4 linked regions of the Oryzias latipes genome follow. The protein of the gene in region 3 binds, or shares a complex with, the protein of the main gene of each other region. Links are inferred from orthologs where the notes say so. Each region holds a gene or a part of one and is shown on either strand. Other genes may lie near its edges. The genes, in order: chic2, hspb8, stub1 and bag3.

Region 1 (5,221 bases), on a different chromosome or scaffold from region 3:
TTTTTAATTCAAGTTAATCTGCTGCAGCAGGAGGAGCGTATTTAACAACGGGTGTATTTTATTTTGAAAGAGACTTACATGTGCTGTTGTCAAAAGTAAAAGGAATTAAAAATGTCACGAACAGAAACATTTGACAGTGTTATAATTCAATAAGTGTAAATATGGAAAAGCTTTATAGTATATATAATAAATGACTAAATGGAGACAGAATGATAAATACAGTGGATTTTTCTAAATGGTGAAGTGGGACTTGCTGTGTTTTGGTCAGTAGGAAACTGGACCAAATGGGTTAAAGACTCCTGGTCTAAACAGATTAGGAGTGTGGCTGTGGGTTTCCTCACCCTTTTGCTGAGGCAAATTACGGGCCACAAACTGAAGCCCAGCGTGCAGCAGCAGCACAGGCAGCCACACAGCAGCCACCGCACGTTCACCGGGAGGGTCTTCCTTAAACAGCTGTTTACTCGATATATACTGGCTTTGAATTCCTCTGGTGCCACCTATGGGGAGTCAAAATTCACATTCAAGCTCATCCACGTTAGCATCTTCCCGTCCCATTTAAACAAAGTTTAAAAGGAAATTAGAGCAAAAATATGACGCAAAATTGATGACTCACCTTTCCTGTTAGCGCTGAGGGAAATTCGGACTCAAATTTGTTACTTAGTCCAAACCTGTGAGACAGAAAGTACAATCAAAATGTATCAATCACACTGCGACCAAGGCTAGAAATGCCCAGGACTCAATTTCCATTGCTTACTACCCCCCTTTGTGACTCAAAAGTATAAATGTGAGAAAATAATGGCAAACGAAACCCGATAAGTGTAACTTTCAAACCGAGAAACGGTGAACTCTTTTCTAAAATATTAACTTCAGTAAGGGATTAAAAAGAGCCATTTAAGCCGTTGTTTACAGTTTTAAACGCAGCGCCTACTACAAAGACTCTCACATAAAATTGAAAATCCCACACGCACTACTTAAGACACCCATACAACAAACACACACTACTACTAACACAACAGCTCTCACACTGCTACTAATGCCTGTAAACGGTGGTTGTCACATTCTGGTACAATTATTTACACACTCCAGAAGAAATGCTCAGAAGGTGTGGAAATAGTTTAACAATAATAATAATTATGTACATTCATAGATTTGGGGTCGGTCGGTCGTACCGGTTCTGCACTTAATTCTTTATAACCGTTCATCATAACCATTATTATTTATTAAAGCCCCTCTCTGCTGAAAGTTCTGTTTTTAGTGTTTTTTAACATGTTTTTGCGGCACTTTATTCATGATGGAGGACATATATAAAAAAAATTAAGATTAGATTTGCATTTCTGAGTATTTCTTTATTCAATTTGTTGTGAATCAGGAGCAGACGAAAAAATGCCATTTGAAAAAGCCTGTAGCTTTGACCTATAGCTACAGTTAGCCGTTAACAAGCTCCCTGCTTAACTCCATGATGCATCCACTTGCAGACGACTAGATCCATGCAAGTCTTTGTTTTCTTCTTCTGAGCTGGTATCTGGTTCTAAACTATACAGCTGGATAGCTTCAATATTGCTTGCCAATTTTGTTGGACCAGAAATGTTAGGTTGGTATTGTGAGGGACTGTAAGCTAGAATGCAAGAGTGTAGACAAAGGGATGATGGGAAATTGGGTCATGCCAACAATCACACCCACAGATCGGAGACAAATTTCTAAAATGTCCTAGAAAACAAAGGTTTTTGTTGTTGTCTAAAAATGGCATAATCATTACTAAAAGACCACTGGGAACGCTTTTAGAATATATAAAAAATAATTTGAGTGGGACTAACCATTATAACTATATCTATTAATGACATATATTTAGATCACATTTTAAAACCATCAAAACTGTGTGGTTTTCTTATTTCTGAAGTGTCATTTACACAAGACACTTTGTTTTCCATTTGTGTGCCAATGCAGCAGTATGTTTGTTGTTAAGCATATAATCAAGAAGTCTAAAAATATATAGATATTCATGGGAAAACGGATGTTTTCTGAAGAAAAATAAACAATGTCTTTGATTTCCTAATCTGACAATGTTCCTAAAATTTCCTTTTAAAAAATGATTTTAGCTGTCCTCTATAGGAAGCCATTTTTCAATAAATCTAATGACCCATACATAATCCACACTTCGTCTGCCATTATCACTTACATATAACCTAAATGCTAATATTTTAGTTCTTTCCATTCAGCAAGCTTTTCCAATGTCTTACTTTTCAGAGCATGTCTTACTAGTTAGCAACCTTTTGTTGTTTAAATTGGTAACAGGACTAAAAATATTTCAATCCAACAGGAAATGTTGTATTTTGACTCAACAGTTTAGGACTATGTTCTGAATATAAACACAAATGTTAGATTTTCTGTTAGCCATGGCCTTATTAAAAACTGCATATTGCAAAAGACTTCTCTCTTTAATCAAATGTTCAATGTTATTGTTGTACATTTTGCTAGCTAGTAAGTAAACACAAACATATGACAAGTATTTTCTAAAGTTTCACAATTTTCAGCAACTGACTTGACAGTGCCTGAAATAAACTATTCTTATTTTGTGTGATAAATTCAAAATGTTTTACAAACTATCAAATGGACTTTTTCGAAGCTAAATCGACATATTTTGGCTAATAGTCGCTTAATTATGTTAGCTTAACAATTTAGCTGTATTAGCTAGCGGCTAACACAGTTAGCACTTACTTTTCTAGATAAAAGCCGCGGCTACAAATCGCCACACGACAACAATAAAGAAAAAAAATGTCCTCACGACCACCAACAGTTAGGCCGGTTCTTACACAGTGACGTGGCCAGATCCTCGTACCACCACCGGGTCCGGAGCGTACTTGAGAAGCTGTTCCTCTGCGGCCCTGTCCTCGTCCTCTTCTTCCTCCTCTTCTTCGTATATCTCATCAAAGTCCTCCATCATCGCACGGCTCAGCCTCGCACTTCCCGGTAAAGACACCGGGAGAGACACGGCTGGGACGAGCAGTGAAAGCTAACCGGGGAAAAACACGAGCGATCAGAAAGCAAAGTCATAAAACAGAGAGTGGTTCACATCGTTACGCGAGCTCCGAAACGAAACATCAACATCCGCCGCAGTAACCGTACGACACCGGAAGAGGGACGGGCGAATCTTTACGTCGATTTATCTGTTTTAGATTGGATTTTTTTTCTTCTTTTCTTTTTTTAATCTTTAATATGAAAAAAAAAAATCAGATTAAAATTTAGTAAAAAGTCGTACCATTAAACAATTACACTTTTTTTAATCCATGGAGAGAATTTTCGTTTACCTAAATCATCTTTTTAGCCTTTTCACCGTTTTAACATTACCATCAAGTGTATATGTTGTGGAGAAAGGTATTTCTCCAGAATCTATAGATAAAATAATAAATAAATAAATAAATAAATAAATAAATAAACTTTTTTTCACATTTTTATTTTACTTAAAATGGAGTTCAATTGTGCACTGGTTTAAGCACGAAAACGTCAAGAATATATGCATAAAAAATTGATTTCAGTAATTGTTCATAAAAAAAACAGGCTCAGCCTTTTCAGGAAATATTTTTAACTCTGCGTCCAATATAGAGAGAAATTAGACTCAGGCGGATTTGTGCGTGCGTAATTCTTTATTTGTGCGTAAATTCAGATTTGTGTGTGCGTAATTCTTTATTTGTGCGTAAATTAGAATTTGTGTATGCATATTCTTGCTTTGTGCGTTTGTAAATTAGGATTTGTGCATAAATTTGGATTTGTGCGTGATTTGTTACTCACATAATACGTTTTGTGTCTTTCTTCTTTCTCTTTCGGCTTTTCCCATCAGGGGTCGCCACAGCGAATCATCCTTTTCCACCTCACTCTATCATGGACATCTTCTACCCTAACATTAGCCAACTTCATGTCCTCTGTTAAGACATCCATATATCTCCTCTTTGGCCGTCCTCTTGCCCTCCTGCCAGGCAGCTCCATCTCCAACATCCTTCTACCAATATATCCACTATCCCTCCTCTGAACATGTCCAAACCATCTCAGTCTGGCTTCTCTGACTTTGTCGCTAACACAGGCAACATGAGCCGTCCCTCTGATGTACTCGTTCCTTATCCTGTCTAACCTGGTCACTCCTAAGGAGAACCTCAACATCTTCATCTCTGCTACCTCCATCTCAGCCTCTTGTCTCTGTCTCACTGCTACCGTCTCTAACCCATAGAGCAGAGCTTGTCTCACCACTGTCTTGTACACCTTTCCTTTGAGTCTTGCTGACACTCTTCTGTCACACAACACTCCTGACACTTTCCTCCACCCGCTCCAACCTGCCTGCACTCGCCTCTTCACCTCTTTTCCACACTCCCCATCACACTGAACTGTTGACCCCAAGTACTTAAACTCCTGCACCTTTTTCACCTCAGCCCCCTGTAACCTAACGCTTCTACCTTGATCCCTCTCGTTCAGACACATGTATTCTGTCTTACTACGACTGACCTTCATGCCTCTTCTTTCCAGAGCAAACCTCCACCTCTGTAGCTGTTCCTCCACCTGCTCTCTACTCTCACTGCAAATTACAATGTCATCCGCAAACATCATCGTCCAGGGAGATTCCTGTCTTACCTCGTCTGTCAGCCTGTCCATCAGCATAGCAAACAAAAAAGGACTCAAAGCTGATCCTTGGTGTAGTCCCACCTCCACCTTGAACTCCTCTGTCTGACCTACAGCACATCTCACCACCGTCATACTTCTCTCATACATGTCCTGAACTACTCTGACATACTTCTCTGCCACTCCAGACGACCTCATACAGTACCACAGCTCCTCCCTCGGCACCCTGTCATACGCCTTCTCTAAATCTACGAACACACAATGCAGCTCCTTCTGACCATCTCTGTACTTTTCCATCAACATTCTCAAAGCAAAAATGGCATCAGTGGTGCTCTTACGGGGCATGAAACCATACTGCTGCTCACAAATCTCCACCTTCTTCCTAAGCCTGGCTTCCACTACTCTTTCCCACAGCTTCATTGTGTGGCTCATCAACTTTATTCCTCTATAGTTGCTGCAGTTCTGCATGTCACCCTTGTTCTTAAAGATCGGGACCAGAACGCTTCTCCTCCATTCCTCAGGCATCTTCTCACTCTCTAAAATCCTATTGAACAACCTCGTTAGAAATTCCACTGCTGTCTCTCCTAAGCACTTCCATACCTCCACAGGTAGGTCA
Region 2 (5,060 bases), on a different chromosome or scaffold from region 3:
TTACTCACACATTTTTTACCAGACTATTGTTACATTTTAATACATAAGTTGTTGGCTCAAGCTGGAAAAAAAATAAAAACAATAAAAAAACACTGTGACATACAATACAAACATATCAGGAACGTGAGCGTGATTGACAAAAAATCTCTGTTGCAAAGGAAATCCCAAATTTTACTTTTGCCAATTCTTCTAAAAATAACATGGAACTGTTTATCACCTCCAGGTGACCAAAAAAATAAAGTGGTTGCTATGGAGATTAAACCAATAAAAAGCTCCCATTTTGAAAAAAAGTTTTTTTGTTTTTAGGAATTTATTTTCGCAGTTCTGAAGGCAGAAGGGTGGTAGTGAGGGGTTGGGTGGCAGAATTTCGGCCGGTCAGGGTGAGTCAGGAGGAGGCTGTGGGTGGGGGGGGTGCATAGTGCCTGCAGGCCGTACAACGCAGCTCCTGGCTTATTGCTTACATGAACAAGCAGATCTAAAGATGCAAAACGAAAGCATCTTCATTTTTTTTTGTTCTTAGCACATCTCAACTCAGAGCAGCACAGACTGTGTCAAGTCTCTTAAAAGGTTATTGACAAGCTACAATCCAGCCAGACGTTTATTCATGAAATAAAAGCTAACCCTTGATCAAAGTTTCCTTAAGTTTGTTTTCAAAGGCCCAAGTTGTTAAGCAGATAAGCTCTGCAATTTCCTGCACTTTTGGATCAATATGCTTCTCCATTGCAGAGACCTTAACAGTCTTCTAGAAGCTGTTGCCAACCAAACTTTTCAAATCAGCAGCTGTCATCCTTTTTGAGCCACATAAACCATGTTTACCCTGCAGCAGCTCACGCTGTACCACTCAAATGTGTCTCAATTGAAATGGAGTGGGACATCATTTCCCCACAGACAAAAGAAACAATATTTGTTTTAATTTGGTTATTTCTGAAATGGTAATCATGTTTTTTAATCAATTGAGATGTGCAGCTACATTAAAAGAAGAAATCAAATACTTTTTACAGTTAAAAAATGCATTTCCAAAATGCTCACATTTGCTTCCAACAGTTGAGCTTCATCTTGTCTAAGACTGAACACTTAAAAACAGTTTTTAAAAAAGCAAATTGAATAAAGAAAGAGGCTTTGTGAGTATAAATGCTTTTACTTTGAAATACGTTCCACGGGCCGTGCTATCCTCTCAGTGAGAGGTTTTGTTGATCTCTCAGGTTATCTTAACATTCCAGCAGTTCGTTTCAGTCGTTTCCATCAAGCTGGTCAAATGGATCATGTTTTGCAGTTGGTCTATTATTGCATTTATGCTTAGCTTTTCTTTTTTTGTTAAAAGTAAAATAAACAAAAAACCAACATGTTTTATTTTTTAATCCAAATGGCATCAGTTTGTCTGGAGGAGTTTTAGAAACAGTACTGTCTAGTTTTGTAAAACTAAAAACTTCTAGCAACTTTGTATATAATTTCTGTTGGTTCATAGTTATGTAATGAGAATCTATTATAAACTCAGAAAATAATAACAATTCCAAAAAATTCTCATGCTTCATTTGCACACTTCAGGGAATGTAATGACATCTGTATGCCACTAAGTGTCCTTCTCCCTTATTAGACTGAAGCCTCAAAGCTTCCAATTGATTTTCTTTGAGCAAAACAAAAGTAAAAGTGTCAGAGTTGATCTAATTTCCACAGTTTTGATTGGTCTTGTGTTTCTCTTCTCCTTAATGCTTTGTCTTCTGTGCTTCTGTGTAAAACTCGAGTGTTCAACATTTGTTCACTCAGCTGTTGGACACCTTTAATTAGGTTGAATGCATTCCCTGCCACACTTTTAGAACCACTTGAACCACTGTGGCAGGAAGGACCAAAATGGCGCCAACCCCAGCTGGCATCCCACTGACGTGTTTATAAAAAACCCAGAGCTGAGTGAGAGGAGGAGGTTCTCCGACCTCCTTGCCCTCTTCAGCTCAGGGAAGCCTTGGAATAATTTGACCCTAAGAGCCTGGAGAAGAGGAAGCGTTTCCACATCTTCATCCAGCTATAGTCTGCATCCTGCACCATTACACTCGGAAGAAGCTCCAGCCCCTTCCAGAACATTCTTGCTCCAGCCTAAATCTAAATCGAGCTCATGAGCAGCTAAGGGAGCGATTTTCCAAGAATTCAAAAACAGGTGTCCAAGCCTAAGTATCGGCTTCACAACTTAAGTTCCAGACAGTCTTCAAAATCTGTCCTGAACTGAAGATTCAGAAGATTTTCCAGACAGAGCAGGCTGCTTTGGTTTCTCAGTAAAAACATGTTTAGTTTAGTGCTTTTTATCTTATAATTACGTAAACATTCAGAAAAAGCTGGAGAAGAAATTAAGAGTGTTGTTTTATTTTTAGCCTGAACATCCTGGAAACAAAGATGGGGGCTCCAGTGTCTTAAAAGTGATAGACGTGGCCTACTTTTACACTTCATGTCAATGATTTTAGTTGTTAATGTTTTGCACGTTAGTTTGCAAACAGAGTCAGAGTGTCTTTTTTTTAACATTAGATGCAGCAGGTTTGCGCACTTTGGCCCCAGATCATTAATCATTAACATATTGAAAGTTATGAGACATTAACACTCAAAGGTCAGGGTCACAGAATGGACCCTCAAAGTTTTGCCCTCTGATTCAGGCTGAAAGCTCACCTGACACCTCCACGAACCCGTCCCTGGTCTTCACGTTTAGCTCCTCTGCTTTAAAGCTGTGCACGTTCACGCACACTTTCCACGGCTCCCCGCCGCAGCTGGTGGGGGAGCCCCGGGACTGGGGCTCTCCGTACCGGCTGCTGGTGTAAACCGCGGGGCCCCCCGTCGACTGACGCGCGGGGAAGCCTGTGCGTAAACCGGTGCCAAACGGCGAGGCGCCGAGGCGCGAGCTTAACCTGCCCGGCCGAGCCCACCCGGGCCAGTCCATGCCCAGATCCTCGGGGAAAGGAGGCATCCCAAAGTCATCGTCCATAAAACGGGACGCCAGTTGATCTCTGAAGGGAGACTGATCCCTGAACGGAGACTCAAACGGATCTCTGGGGAAGCGCTGCCGGTTTCCCATGGTGTAAAAGTCTCCCTCTGCCATCTCCACTTCAGCACAAACTCAGAAACTTTTTGGAAATGGATTGGTTAAGAACTTTCTCCTTATTGAAAAATAGTACTTCTTCGGGAGGGGGATAAACCTTATCTGATCTGGAGCGCGCGTACCGCCCGTTACGCGCAAAAGCCTATCCGCTAAACAACATCGACACGGAGCGCGGGTTAAATACCCAGCTGGGGGCTTCACGGGGCAGGAAAGTGCTGGGAGGCCCTCGAAAGGCCCTACGCTGTAAAAAATATAAACCCAGAACAAAAAAACAAACCTCAAAATTTCACAATTACATAACATTCATAATTACATAACATTCATTTAATCAAAACTAACGTCTAGCGTTACGTGCGTGAACGCAACGAGGGAAAGTACTCCAAATAACGATAACATTCCCGGTAGATGTAAATATTTCTTTTAGTGGAGGCGCAGCAGCTGGGGGAGGACCCTCCCCCCGTGACTCATCATGTTTTAATAGAAGATAACTCAGAGCTGCTGCAGGTCTGAAGTCACACTGAAGAAGTGACACCTGAACTTCTTCGTGAAGATTTGCTGATGCAGAAAATCCACCTGCAGTGACCGAATGAAGACTTTCAGGATGACGCATCAGACACTAAACAGCTCAGTGACATGCAGCCAAAGATGCATCAGCATGAAGGGGAAATCACCAGTGAAATAGTCAATGGAAACTTAATATGACTCCATAGGATTATTATATATTTTTAGAGGTAAATTTAGTTTCAGACTTGATTACTGTTAAATAAATAAATCACCTAAACCACATCAGCTACTAAAAGATGATAAGAAAATTCATGTGTTTGAAGGTTTTGTTCTTTCTGCTAAAATAACTTTTTTCTATCAAATCTGTATTCTTGCTAATATTAAATATGTTTGATAAAGAGAGAAAAAAAGGAAAGTTCAGCCCTGTAACATGTTACTTAGTATTTAGACAATGAGCTGTTTGGTCAAGACTAGAGTTTGTCTTCTGTCACCTCATCAAACAAGTGAAAACAAAAACCTCAGTTTCCTCAAACACAAACATTTTCACTGCAATATGAATGCAGATGGACTTTGTAAAGGACTGAGGTGAAGAAGCAAAGGAAGGGAAAAAAGTGAGAAGTGATTGACAATGGTCTGTGGCCAATCAGACGTAGAACACAGCGTGCTGTATTAAAAAAAAAAAAGAAAGAAAGTGACCATTGGCACGTAATTCTAAGATACATGTTGGGCGGCCAGTGCTGAACTTTTTTTTTGGCCACACTTATTTTAAACACTGAAAATACGTGGTTTAATATAGCCGTACTTAAGATATATGCTGTGCCACTCGGTATCCATGCGTGTTTTATCAATCACCCCTTAAAATACCTGCTACCGACCACAAAATTTAGCCTCAGATGCACTTAAAATATGTGCGGGCAATGCAGTGATGTGCTTAGCCACAAGGATTACGTCCGTTTTTGTGCTTGGTCACACTTAAAATATTGTACTGGTAAAAAGTGCAAAACAGTGAGTCCGCAAAGGTGAGCCACAATATAGCGAGAGGTCGCTGTATAGCATGTGAATAGCAGTTTATCCACACTGTGAGGACATTTACTTGTTTTGCTGTTTCATTTCGTAATAAGCCACACAGTGAAGTGCAGAGACTCCACCTACTTTAGGAGGAAGGAAAGTGCTGCTATAACTACAACTGGAAAAACACTTAAACAACACAGATCTACAAAAAAAAACAATCTTTTTATGGTTGATGGGGAGCAGTGAAAAGCTGCAAAAACAAGCGTGGCGTCATAAGAGATGGTGACTCTGCCAGTGGACATTTTTCAATTTCACCTGTTTGGTCTGAAAAACAGTTATCATTGCCAGGATACCATCTCTGTGTTCATCCACACAGGGCCAGGTTTCACACTAAGGATGCAGGTAGAAGTTTAAAAGATCATAAAACATCATTTATTTCCGTTTGATTCTTATTTAAAACACAAACAGA
Region 3 (5,171 bases):
GTCCTTTGCAGGTCACAGGATGATAAAAGTAAATCAATAAATCAAGAAGATCAGACATGTCAAAAAATGTGGAACAGCTGCTGTGGCTAAATAGAGTAAATGTAAAAGCTTACATGTCTTGACGCGATCTTGGCAGCATCACTTCCGTTCTGATTGTCATCGTGTTTTTCTTTGTAATCACCCAGCTCTCTTTAAAATATTAAGTTATGGTGATATGGATTGCAGATTTTAAAAAAGCAATAATTGAAATAAGTAGATTTTTCCCAGGAGAGCTCACCTTTCCTTCTCAGCCAGAATGAGTTTGGTCAGATAAGCGTGTAACTCGTTCTCCTGGTTGATGCGTTTCTCCTCAATGCTGTTCCAGCGTTTTTTCTTGGCGATGCGTAAAGCACTGGGAATGTCGTCTCCAAAATTCAGCCTCTGTTCTTTCGCCAAGTTATAAGCTGTAAAAACAATGGGAAGGTTGACAAATAAGTCAATGAACTGCTGACCAAATCTTTTCCTTCCGTGTTTCGTTGTTGAATAAAAGCTGCAGAAAACATCAAATATACAAAAAAAGGGAGTAAAAAACAAACTAGAGATTTAAAAATCTATGTTGCAGCGATGCAAACCCTCTGAGAGGGAAAAATGTCCTCCACAATATTCCACTTCTAAATGATGTGAAAAAGCCAATTCACAGCAACGTGAAGTTTCCATTAGAACAGATATAAATCCAGATCTTAACCAAAACAGCAAACAATAGGATTCACTTTAGACAGAGATCATCTGCCCATTTTTTAACACTTGACACGGCACAGAGACAAACAAGACCAATGTAAGAATTGTATGTTTGCAGGCGTGTGTAACAGCGTAGTGAGACAATAAACATGTAATTCTGCTCTTAATCACTACAAAAGTTATCTGTGCTGAATCCAAACCCAAAACTGCAGCAAGACAAATAAATCACAATATGATCAAAACCCAAGCACGCACGCACACACACACACACACACAAACATACATTTATACACACAAATTAAATGGTAAACGGCATATAATTGATTGAAATATGTCGAGCATTGATTTATTGTAACGTTGAAGATAATTAATCTAAATAATAGAATGTGTCAGAATATTAGCTTTTATCATCAAAATAATAGAAAAAGATGTTTACAACCTAAATGTTCAAATGCCTTCATTTCTATCACTTAGCTTGGTTAGGGCTCCTCTATGTGAATCACTGCATCAATGCACTGAGGATATGAAGCGTGTGGCTCTATGTAGAAGTAATGGAGGTTTCTATGTGCTGCCTTCACATTATCTGCATTATTGAGTCTGGTGTCTCATCTTCCTCCAAACAAGAGACAATAGATTCATAATAGGGTTCAGGTCAGGGGAATGTGCTATCAGCCACAGTAATACTATTAATTGAACCAGCTTTTGGTTCTTTTGGCAGAGTGGGCGGGCCCCATGTCCTGCAGGAAAATTGAATCTGCAGCTCCAATGAGCTCAACACCAAAAGGCAGCATGAAGTGCTACAGAACTTTGTGTAGACTTCAAAAAAACATGGACCTACATCATCCCTGACTGTGGAAGCTTCACAAGACCCTTCAGGCAACATCGGGTCTGTGCGTCTCCAAATGAAATACAACCTTTACTTTTGGACCACTAAGCATCTGTCTGGTTCTTTTCTAATGAGCCCAGGTAAAAAACAAAAAACAAAAAAAAACGTCTAACTCTGATGATGGTGAAATAAATCAGAATTTTGCATGGATTTTCTCTGTTGAAAGTCTTTTTTCTTTCCACTCTATTTTCTGTTAATATGCTTGGACAGATTAACTACCATGATTGCATATGGACTTACATTTGTCTGATACATTTGAAGGTTCAGGAAACCTTTGCAAAAATAATCCGTTACAGTTTTTGATACTTTTTATTTTGTCATTTTCTTCTTAATGTACCTAAAGTTGATGAAATGCTCTGGTTTTAAGGTAAATGCATTGATTTGTAACTGCTGGTGCCTTTAAGAACATGTGCAAGTTTGATTTTCTCATCCCCACAGAAAATTCTTTTTTGTTAGAATCCCACAATAAAAGCACAAGTGAACTGATCCATCTTCAACACCTAAAGGTTGTGATCCTTTGTTCTGGTGTTATGATTAAGAAAACCCGACACGAACGGCTAGGAGAGAAAAATCAAACTAGTTTCTGACCTTTTTGCAAATTGCCGATTGCCTCATCGTAGTTCTCCAGCTCCAGGTGACACTGGCCCAGGAAGAAGTGGGCTTTAACAGACTGACTATCCAGCTCCAGTGCATGCTTACAATCTGTCAGAGCCTTGTCATACTGCTGCAGCTTCACGTGGCAGAGGGCCCTGTTGGTGTAGTATACTGCCACTGATGGATTGCGGTTCTGGAAGACACAATGGGGAAAATAAAGAGTATTTACGCGCAAACTGTTTAGTCTTCGCCATTAGTGTTTGGATGAGAAATCCCAGACGCTTACAATAGCTTTACTATAGCAAGAGGCAGCATCCTGGTACTTGCGGCAGAGGAAAAGCCGGTTCCCCTGCTCCTTGAACTCCTGCGCGGTGGAACTCTTCTCCGGGCTGCCGGCCATCTTCTCCACCGGCTCCGCGGGGCCCGCTTCGCCCTGTTTCCCTATCCTGTTCCCCGTCTCTTCGGCTGGCTAGACAACAGGTTTTCAGAACGTCCCGTCCGGCTTGGATCTCACACACTAAAACACAGGCGCGTGCTGAGTTAGCGATGCACCTGCAATGCGCTGCTTCTTCAACGATCTCTCGGCGCAACGCTGCTGCTTGGTGCCGCTCAGAATGCATTCATTCGGGTTTGCTGACAGTGCACGCCGCTGAAAATCACAGCTAGACTGCCGGCGAATTAACTATTCACATTCGGAAATCGATGGCCATCAGCGAGCACAGCTATTTAAAAAAAATCCAGAACCATTAATTTACACATCCACTCAGGTTTCGAGTAAAAACACCAGATACAAGATAATATATTTAAGTTAACGAAAAATTGTATATTATTGTTACACGACAAGAAACACAAAAATAAGATTGCTAACTTACAAACAAACAGAGGAGGAGAATCGATGCTATGCTAAAATTAGCTAAGCTTTTATCTTGAAATTATTTTGTTTGGGGACATAGTACAGCTTTTGTGTCTCTAATCAATTTTATTGACATTTAATTTAGGGTAGATTCTGGTGAATTGAAGCAGAGGATAGTAAAACCATAACTACTTGTTCAAGGATTTCAATATTTACCACAACGCAGCTCGGTTTCTTCAAAAAACATAAACTAGCTAGTGCTAGCTTAGCCTTTTTGCATTACAGTTGCTTCACGTCCGTTTCAGTTTGTTGGAGGCTTAAATAAAGTTTTACATAGTACCCACCCTTACCTTTAATCAGAAATTTTACATTCAGCTCAAACAGATTTAATTTAGTTTGATATAAAATCGTTACGGATTATTTTTACCACCCGTACGAACTGTCAAGACGGAATGTTGTGGTGCTGACGTCAAACGCTTTACGCTCTAACAACGGAAGCCGAGAGCACACGAATCCTGATGGGAGTTTGCGCAGAGGTTATCTTCAAGTATCATAACAATGTAAAGTTTCTGTGCTCATTTCTGTAAAAGTACTGTGGGAACAAACCCTCATCTGTATTGGGACTGCTCTCATAATTTGGCTTTATAGAATGCCAGCCCTTTATCTTTAATCCTAAATTAATCATAGAGGGTCATTGGAGCTGTGAGAAGAGCATGCAAACAACGTGAAACAGGGGCCTTCTATATGTGAGAAGACCCTGGTATCAGTGCTAGTGGTTAGAACTAACATAGCTGACTACTGATACAAGTAACCACACCTTATCTCTGAGTGATGGTTAGTTGTATAGAAAATAGGTACTGACCTTACATTACGTTAGACAAAATACTATAACAACACCCTATCAAATAAAAGTGTTTGTTTATATCTGATTCGAAATTATTAGTAAAATAATTGATATTAATGGAAATAATTTATTATTATTATTTTGTCTTCCTTAAACTTCTGTTATTGCACTAATCCAAAAGCATTGAAGATGATAAATCTGTTCTATTTGATTTGGTGCTTTTTATGTCTTTACTCATTTTTCACTTTTTATATTAGCTTGATGCCAAATTTTAACATGAGACTTTGCTTATGTTAAGAGAAGCATAAAAATTCATTTTTTTTCTGTATCGCTTTGTCCCTTTCGGGGTCACGGGGCTGCCGGAGCCTATCTCGGCTACTTTGGCGTAGGCAGGGGATGCCCTGGACAGGTCGCCAGTCTGTCCAGGGCAGACTGCGTTTTTTATGCTTTTATGCTGCTGTAAGCATAAAAATGTAATTGAAAAAAAAAAACGTATATATTTTTTAACATTCAGAAAAGTATTTTTTTCTCAAATATGGTTTGAAAATGAAATGAAGCCACACCTAAATATTTCCTGTTATTTTTATGCATCTTTACAATCACTCATTTAAATCTGAATAAGCAAAAATATGAGAGCAAGAAATGGAAAGATGGGTTTACCTGAGGTTGTTTGAGACGTTTATACAAATCTGAAATGTGTAAAGAGGAGTTATTTTAAAAAATATGATCAGAAATATTTGCATTTTTTGCAGTTGAACTACCAATTTTACACACCAAGATACAGAAAAAGACAACTGGGTGGTTTCTCATTGCACTTGTAAAAGATCAGCACAGGAAATCTAGTGTATTGGCCAGAAGATGGCATCATCGGGCTACTCGTTTTTTTAAATGTGAGTCAAATCTTTAATGTAATCTGTTATTAAGTAGTTTAGTACAATATTATGAATTACCATTGCATCACTGTGTTATGTAGTGACTCTAATAAAGATATGTGCCAAATAAAGATGTGTGCCAAAATAAATTTGATGATACATTTATACTTATTCTGGATTCAGTTGACAAATGTAAACATTTTTAAATCATCAAAGGGATTTTTCAGCAACGGTTATAATATTAAAAACATTTTTTATGAATCAGTTTTCTTGAGACATCCAACTCACAAAGAAACTGCAGATAACATTTTGGTCTTTGCAGTCCGTCATGTTTGACAGTGGAGGAATTAGTGAGACCTTGACTGTGGAAAAGGTCATTTTCAAACCAGCCAGTTGCGCCTTTGT
Region 4 (5,235 bases), on a different chromosome or scaffold from region 3:
TGGCCGTCACATAATGTTCCTTGGACTCTCCTCTGTCACCGTCCGCCGGCGTCTCACTGGTGGGCTTGGCTGGCCGCTCCTCCAGCTGTTCCAGCTCCTCCAGTATGGTCTGAACCCGCCGGACTCCATCGCGCCGGGCCTGCCGCACATCTGCGCGTCCCTCCGGGTCGACAGAGTCCAGAGCCAGCAGCTCTTTGGTCAGCAGCTCCTCCAGCAGCAGGTATTTCTTATCATTTTTCTTCCCGCTGAAAGCCTTGGCCTCCTGCTCCAGCGAAGCCACCCGTCCCACGATCTGCTGAACCTTCGCCAAGCCCGGGTGAACGGCGCCCTGCTCCCCCTCTGCTCTGGTTGGGGGGGCTTCAGGGCCGGCTGGGTCCTGAACCTCTGCTTTTGGAGGGATTTGAACCGTGATGTCTGCAACGTGATGCTGCGGCTCCTGGGACTGAGGCTGCTCCAGATGTGGAGCGTCCACCTCTGTGAGCTGCGGTTGAGGAACCGGCAGGTTCTCTGCTTTCTGCAGCTCCTGCTCCACTTTCTGGGCCGGGTCTCTAGTGAGGAGGTTCTGCTGAGATCCAAATAACAAAGTTACAGTTTTATGTCAGAATCTGGGACACGCTGGCAAAAGGAAAAGACCGGAAAGCCCACCTGCGGTCTGTCCGCCTGCAGCTGCGATACCGTCGGGGACTGGCTCCTAAGCGAAGGTGGGAGGCGGGCAGACGCTGCGTCCCGGTGCTGCGGGAACAGCGACGTCGGGGAAGCACTTTCCCGAGAAGACGGCGCCGCAGAGTAGGCGGGCCGTTCGTCTGTCTGGAGGCGCTGGTAGGGGGCGCGCTGAGAGTAGACGGCGGGGTTTACCTGAGGCGGACCCCCTCCGCCCTCATGGATGACTGGAATAGGAATGTAACCGGCCTGGAGGCCGGTGCTGCCGGGTCGACACGGTTGGTGGTGTGTGGCGGTGTGCACCTGAGCAGCAACACAGTCAGAACGCAGTGAACACGTTTGGTCGCACAAATGTTACCCGCTTCAGCTCATGCTGGTCCCTCACTAGATCGCCGGCCACCTTTTTATAGCCAATTTCCATTTTACTTCACAGCTCGCTATGTTCTGCATCCTGATTGGCTGTTGACCTTGTCAATCAATCTCCTCCGTGTATGAAATGCGTTATTTTGAAAACTCCCACTGTAATCAAGGGTGGCTGTCAGTGAAGAACCCAAATGTTACCCGTACCTCTGTGGTTGGCGGCGTGGGCGTGCTGGCCCTCCCGGGCTCAGAGGAGCAGCTGTCTGAGGCCACGTGTAACGGCGATCTGGGCCTGCCGTGAAGTCCGGAGGCGTGCGAAGGAGCCTGACCTTCGTACCGGACACTCTGCGCTGTGCTTGGCTGGATGTACGTACAGCAGGGATGCGGCGGCTGCTGCCGCAGCTCTGCGCCCTCATGGAAGACGGGGATGGGGATGTAGCCGGGCCGCAGAATCGGGTGCTTCATCTCTCGGGTAAAGGTCTTCTGGGTCTCCTTAGGATGTTGTTCTGGAGGTATGTTGGGTCCGTTTGCTTCTCTACTCTGAAATATAGGCAGGGGAAAGAATTTAGAACCAAAAAACCTTTAAATTCATTAAAAAAACACACACAAATCTCAGGTAAAAACTTTAAGACTTCCACCACTGATTCATCAGTGATATTTTGTATAATTGTGTATTTGTGCTTCTATAGTGCTTTTCTAAAGCCTAAAGTGCTTTACACACTCTGATGGGGGCAGAGCAAGGCCAGAATCAAACCCGAGACCTCCTAATCCAGAGTCAACCGCTCTACCTCTGCACCACAGCTGCTCACAAAGCCCCCGTCTCATGCTGCCTCCATGTTTTCCAGGTGTGTTTTCCAAATATAACGGTGCTTTGGGCCGTTGACGTCAGGTGAGCGTCTGTGCAGACGTCTGTGTTCGCGACCGTCCGGCCGCAGGTGGAAATCCTCCACAGATCCACGTTCTGCCTTCTCCAGATCCACGTTCCGCTTTCTCCAGATCCACGTTCCGCTTTCTCCAGATCCACGTTCCGCCTTCTCCAGATCCACGTTCCGCTTTCTCCAGATCCACGTTCCGCCTTCTCCGTCCCGGGTCACATTTCCTCACCCAGCAGCCAAAAGTGACGCTGCCCTGCCAGAACAACCTCTGCATTCCAGCCCGGCAGCTGCTAGTTTGCCTCCTGAAGATGTGTCCCTGTGCCCAGCGCCCCCCCCCTCTGACCCCCAACACGCCAACATCACACAGGACAGCACTTTTAATCTGAAGGAGACCAACTGTTTGTCTTTTTGAATGTTCTTTATGGAACAGGTCACCGCTGTGAACTATTTTCCTCCATGAAAACCGATCAGACAGGAAGAGAATTTAAAAATAAAAGCACGAGATGTCAGGAAGAAGTGAAGGAGCAGAGAGCAACAGGTCTGATGCCCCCCCCCCCTCCCCAACCAAAGGAGACCAAAACCTGGAGGAAAACGGTCAACAATCGGTACCCCGTCGGTGTCTCCTCCGGAACGACCCTTTGCCCTCTGCCCGGGACCGCCCGCCCAGCAGCCCCCGCCACACACAGCAGCCCAGCCGCGGTCCCTGCTGGGAAAATGACCTTAATGTGAAAACGGCCCCCCCGTCCCGGCCGCCACATACTGCAGGGTGACTCATCGCGTAATAATAGTTATGATGACACGAGGACATGGCGGGACCGATCAGCCGTTACCACCGACAATACAATGTTCCGCAGAAACAACCAACGCAGATTCCCCGCGAGCGCTTCCCGCCGGGGAAGCAACTTTGCCCGCGCGCTCCTTCACCTTTGTCGCGACGTGTCTCGGGTCATTCCAGGTTGTGGTTCGGTTGTTGTGATCCACGAAAAACGGCCATCCGGTCTGGGGGTCGATTTTGACCTCCCAGCCGAGGGGCAGGGGGTCGCTGTCGTTGTTAGCCATGGTCGGCGCGGGGGCGCGTGTCTGCACGGCGCTCATGCTGCTCGCGCTCCGGTACTAAGACATTTTATACGGGCGGCGGGCGCTTTAAAGACTCCGTGGAGTGACGTGGGGAAGTGGGCTGGAAGCTTCTGGAAATAGCAGGGTTAACTGTGGGGGCGGCAAGGGGGGCGGGGGGGGGGGGGGGGGCGGAGCTGCAGATCCAAGCCGGAGACCCCCACGAGGGTTTACCGAGAGCAGCTCCACCTGAAACGTGACGACGGACCGGAGAGCAGCGGAGACGACTCCATCAGAGCCCAGACGGGGGGGGGGGGCTAAACATGTTCAAAAACACATGCGTGCCTCCGGCGAGGAACACATGTTCAATGAGATTTGGTCACTAAATAAACTAGTCCAATTCTATTTTATCATTAAAAATGAGTAAAAATCTACAAACAAAATGAAAAATCAAAAGGTTCAAACACAACCCCCCCACAAAGAGACAGCTGCTTATAACATTACTCTGTTTTCCAGTCCAGACAAACATTTGCTTTCATCAATATTTCATATTAAAGCCGCTTTTTGGAATCTAAATTCTAGTGGATACTATCTAATGATTATGTTAAACATATATGAAGGATCTAAACTTTAAAACAACTTTAAAAGATTTAAAAACATACAAAGTAGTCATTCTAAATATGTGCAGCAAACAGCTGTTTGATTATCAAACTGATATTTGAAACCATTGTTATTTATAAATAGTTTAAATTATGTCAAATGCTGCAAAACAGGAGAGTAAATTATTCATGTTGAAAAAATTAATAAATAATTAGGAGTGTGACCATTAATTTTACCTCAATCCAGATGGAATTTTCTAATATTGATTTAATTGATTTTGACACGAGTTTATAATGGTATAGGTCCACTCGATTGTACAAATAGAAATTAATTAATATTAATTAACTATTAATTAACTAGATTAATAGTTAAACTCTTAATAATAATAATAATAATGTCCTTTATAAAGATAAGGCTAAGCTTTCTGTGACTCTATAAGGTCATGTCAGAGACTGTTTATGACTCACCATATATACTGGGATAAACTGTTTATGGGTTAGAGTTATTGTAAAATAATCCATTCTCCCTTTACTATACTGTTGTTATAAGGATAATCACATTAGTGTCGTGTGAATTAATTTTTTTTCTTTACATTTAAATTTTACACTAAATACATATTTTATTTATCTTCATCACTCCAAGGCTGCTGCAATTACATTGTATCACCATATACAATGACAATAAAATTATTCTGATTAGTCAAAAATCTGTAAAAAGAACTCTACAGGCTACACAAAGCCTAACTTTATAAAGCACACAGCATCAAGTCCGGACATTACAGCAGAGTTTAAACAGAAGAATAAAAATAACTCGATAGCTGAACATTAAAACATGAAAGGTGTTTAAAAACAAGTTCACACGCGCTGACACCTGACCCGAGCTTCCAGAAATCCCCTCTGTTCCAGTTATAGCTGACACAAACGGGCATCGTCTCAGGAGGGTCCTTAAAACAAGCGAACCCTTACTTCCGCTTAAAATCTAAGGAAATGACGTAACGTCAGGGGAAAAAAAGACTTTTCTCTATTGCCGTTTAATAGCGTCACCCTGAAATAGATGATTGATACAGAAAATCTAACCTTCGTTTTTCAAACGTTGCATTTTCTTATAAAGGTTATAAAGGTTTAAATTTAGGCTACTTCACCTTTTCCGTAGGACAGGCTGTTACGCATGCGCAAGAGAAACACTCATGGTCTGACGTACGCTCTGTTCCCGTCAGTTAGCATCTGAGGAGCTGGGTAACTAGCTGCTTTGTATTTGACACTAGTGTCGCTAAATGACAGCTAGGTATTAAGCAGCTAACGTTTTAGGACCACGTGACTTTCAGCATCGATCATGGACGACGAAAGCCACCCCAGAACTCTGTAAGCCCCCCTCCCCCGGTTGTGTCATAGTGTTTGCTAACATCTGGAAATATCGGCTAGCTTAGCTTGTCAATGTTAACCCGGTGTGTTCTAGCTTTCCTATATGTGGCGGTAATGTAACCGCAAAGCTTGGAACGAAATAAGACTAGACTTAGTTTACGAGGATATATATATATATATTTATATTTTCTACTAGTTCATGGAAAGTATGTGTAACGGGATCTACATAACCTTACTCTAAACAAATGCAGAATAACATAGAAAGATGTTACTTTTAACTGGATGGTAATGATGTAAATCCCGTCTCTGTGCTTTAGGTACGTCGG

The links.
Region 1: the proteins of stub1 (region 3) and chic2 are in contact, whole or in part, in a crystal structure (PDB 8SUV), measured with the Homo sapiens proteins. The link is inferred for Oryzias latipes from reciprocal best matches to the Homo sapiens genes STUB1 and CHIC2. Residues at the interface, in NP_005852.2 of Homo sapiens: Lys30, Asn34, Phe37, Tyr49, Val61, Asn65, Leu68, Leu71, Val94, Lys95, Phe98, Phe99, Gln102, Arg128, Asn130, Phe131, Gly132, Asp134, Ile135; in NP_036242.1 of Homo sapiens: Leu156, Pro157, Lys158, Thr159, Pro160, Ile161, Phe162, Arg163, Pro164, Asp165.
Region 2: stub1 (region 3) and hspb8 share a complex: the UniProt entries of both Homo sapiens proteins name them as parts of the chaperone-assisted selective autophagy (CASA) complex. The link is inferred for Oryzias latipes from reciprocal best matches to the Homo sapiens genes STUB1 and HSPB8.
Region 4: stub1 (region 3) and bag3 share a complex: the UniProt entries of both Homo sapiens proteins name them as parts of the chaperone-assisted selective autophagy (CASA) complex. The link is inferred for Oryzias latipes from reciprocal best matches to the Homo sapiens genes STUB1 and BAG3.

What each region holds. Positions count from the first base shown.
Region 1 is NC_019859.2:11,115,504-11,120,724, reverse strand, and holds the start of chic2 (cysteine-rich hydrophobic domain-containing protein 2), read right to left. Parts: upstream 3,134-5,221; 5' UTR 2,942-3,133; coding exon 2,811-2,941; intron 669-2,810; coding exon 614-668; intron 498-613; coding exon 342-497; intron 1-341.
Region 2 is NC_019867.2:3,770,167-3,775,226, reverse strand, and holds the start of hspb8 (heat shock protein beta-8), read right to left. Parts: upstream 3,254-5,060; 5' UTR 3,077-3,253; coding exon 2,650-3,076; intron 1-2,649. UniProt on the Homo sapiens protein: Involved in the chaperone-assisted selective autophagy (CASA), a crucial process for protein quality control, particularly in mechanical strained cells and tissues such as muscle. Displays temperature-dependent chaperone activity.
Region 3 is NC_019877.2:8,953,825-8,958,995, forward strand, and holds the start of stub1 (E3 ubiquitin-protein ligase CHIP), read right to left. Parts: upstream 3,538-5,171; 5' UTR 3,267-3,537; intron 2,715-3,266; 5' UTR 2,598-2,714; coding exon 2,484-2,597; intron 2,391-2,483; coding exon 2,192-2,390; intron 444-2,191; coding exon 278-443; intron 190-277; coding exon 114-189; intron 4-113; coding exon 1-3. UniProt on the Homo sapiens protein: E3 ubiquitin-protein ligase which targets misfolded chaperone substrates towards proteasomal degradation.
Region 4 is NC_019873.2:29,858,170-29,863,404, reverse strand, and holds the start of bag3 (BAG family molecular chaperone regulator 3), read right to left. Parts: upstream 3,068-5,235; 5' UTR 2,991-3,067; coding exon 2,820-2,990; intron 1,561-2,819; coding exon 1,228-1,560; intron 964-1,227; coding exon 646-963; intron 566-645; coding exon 1-565. Other genes in the region: tial1 (nucleolysin TIAR), read left to right, coding at 4,881-4,909, 5,227-5,235. UniProt on the Homo sapiens protein: Co-chaperone and adapter protein that connects different classes of molecular chaperones including heat shock proteins 70 (HSP70s), e.g. HSPA1A/HSP70 or HSPA8/HSC70, and small heat shock proteins (sHSPs), e.g. HSPB8.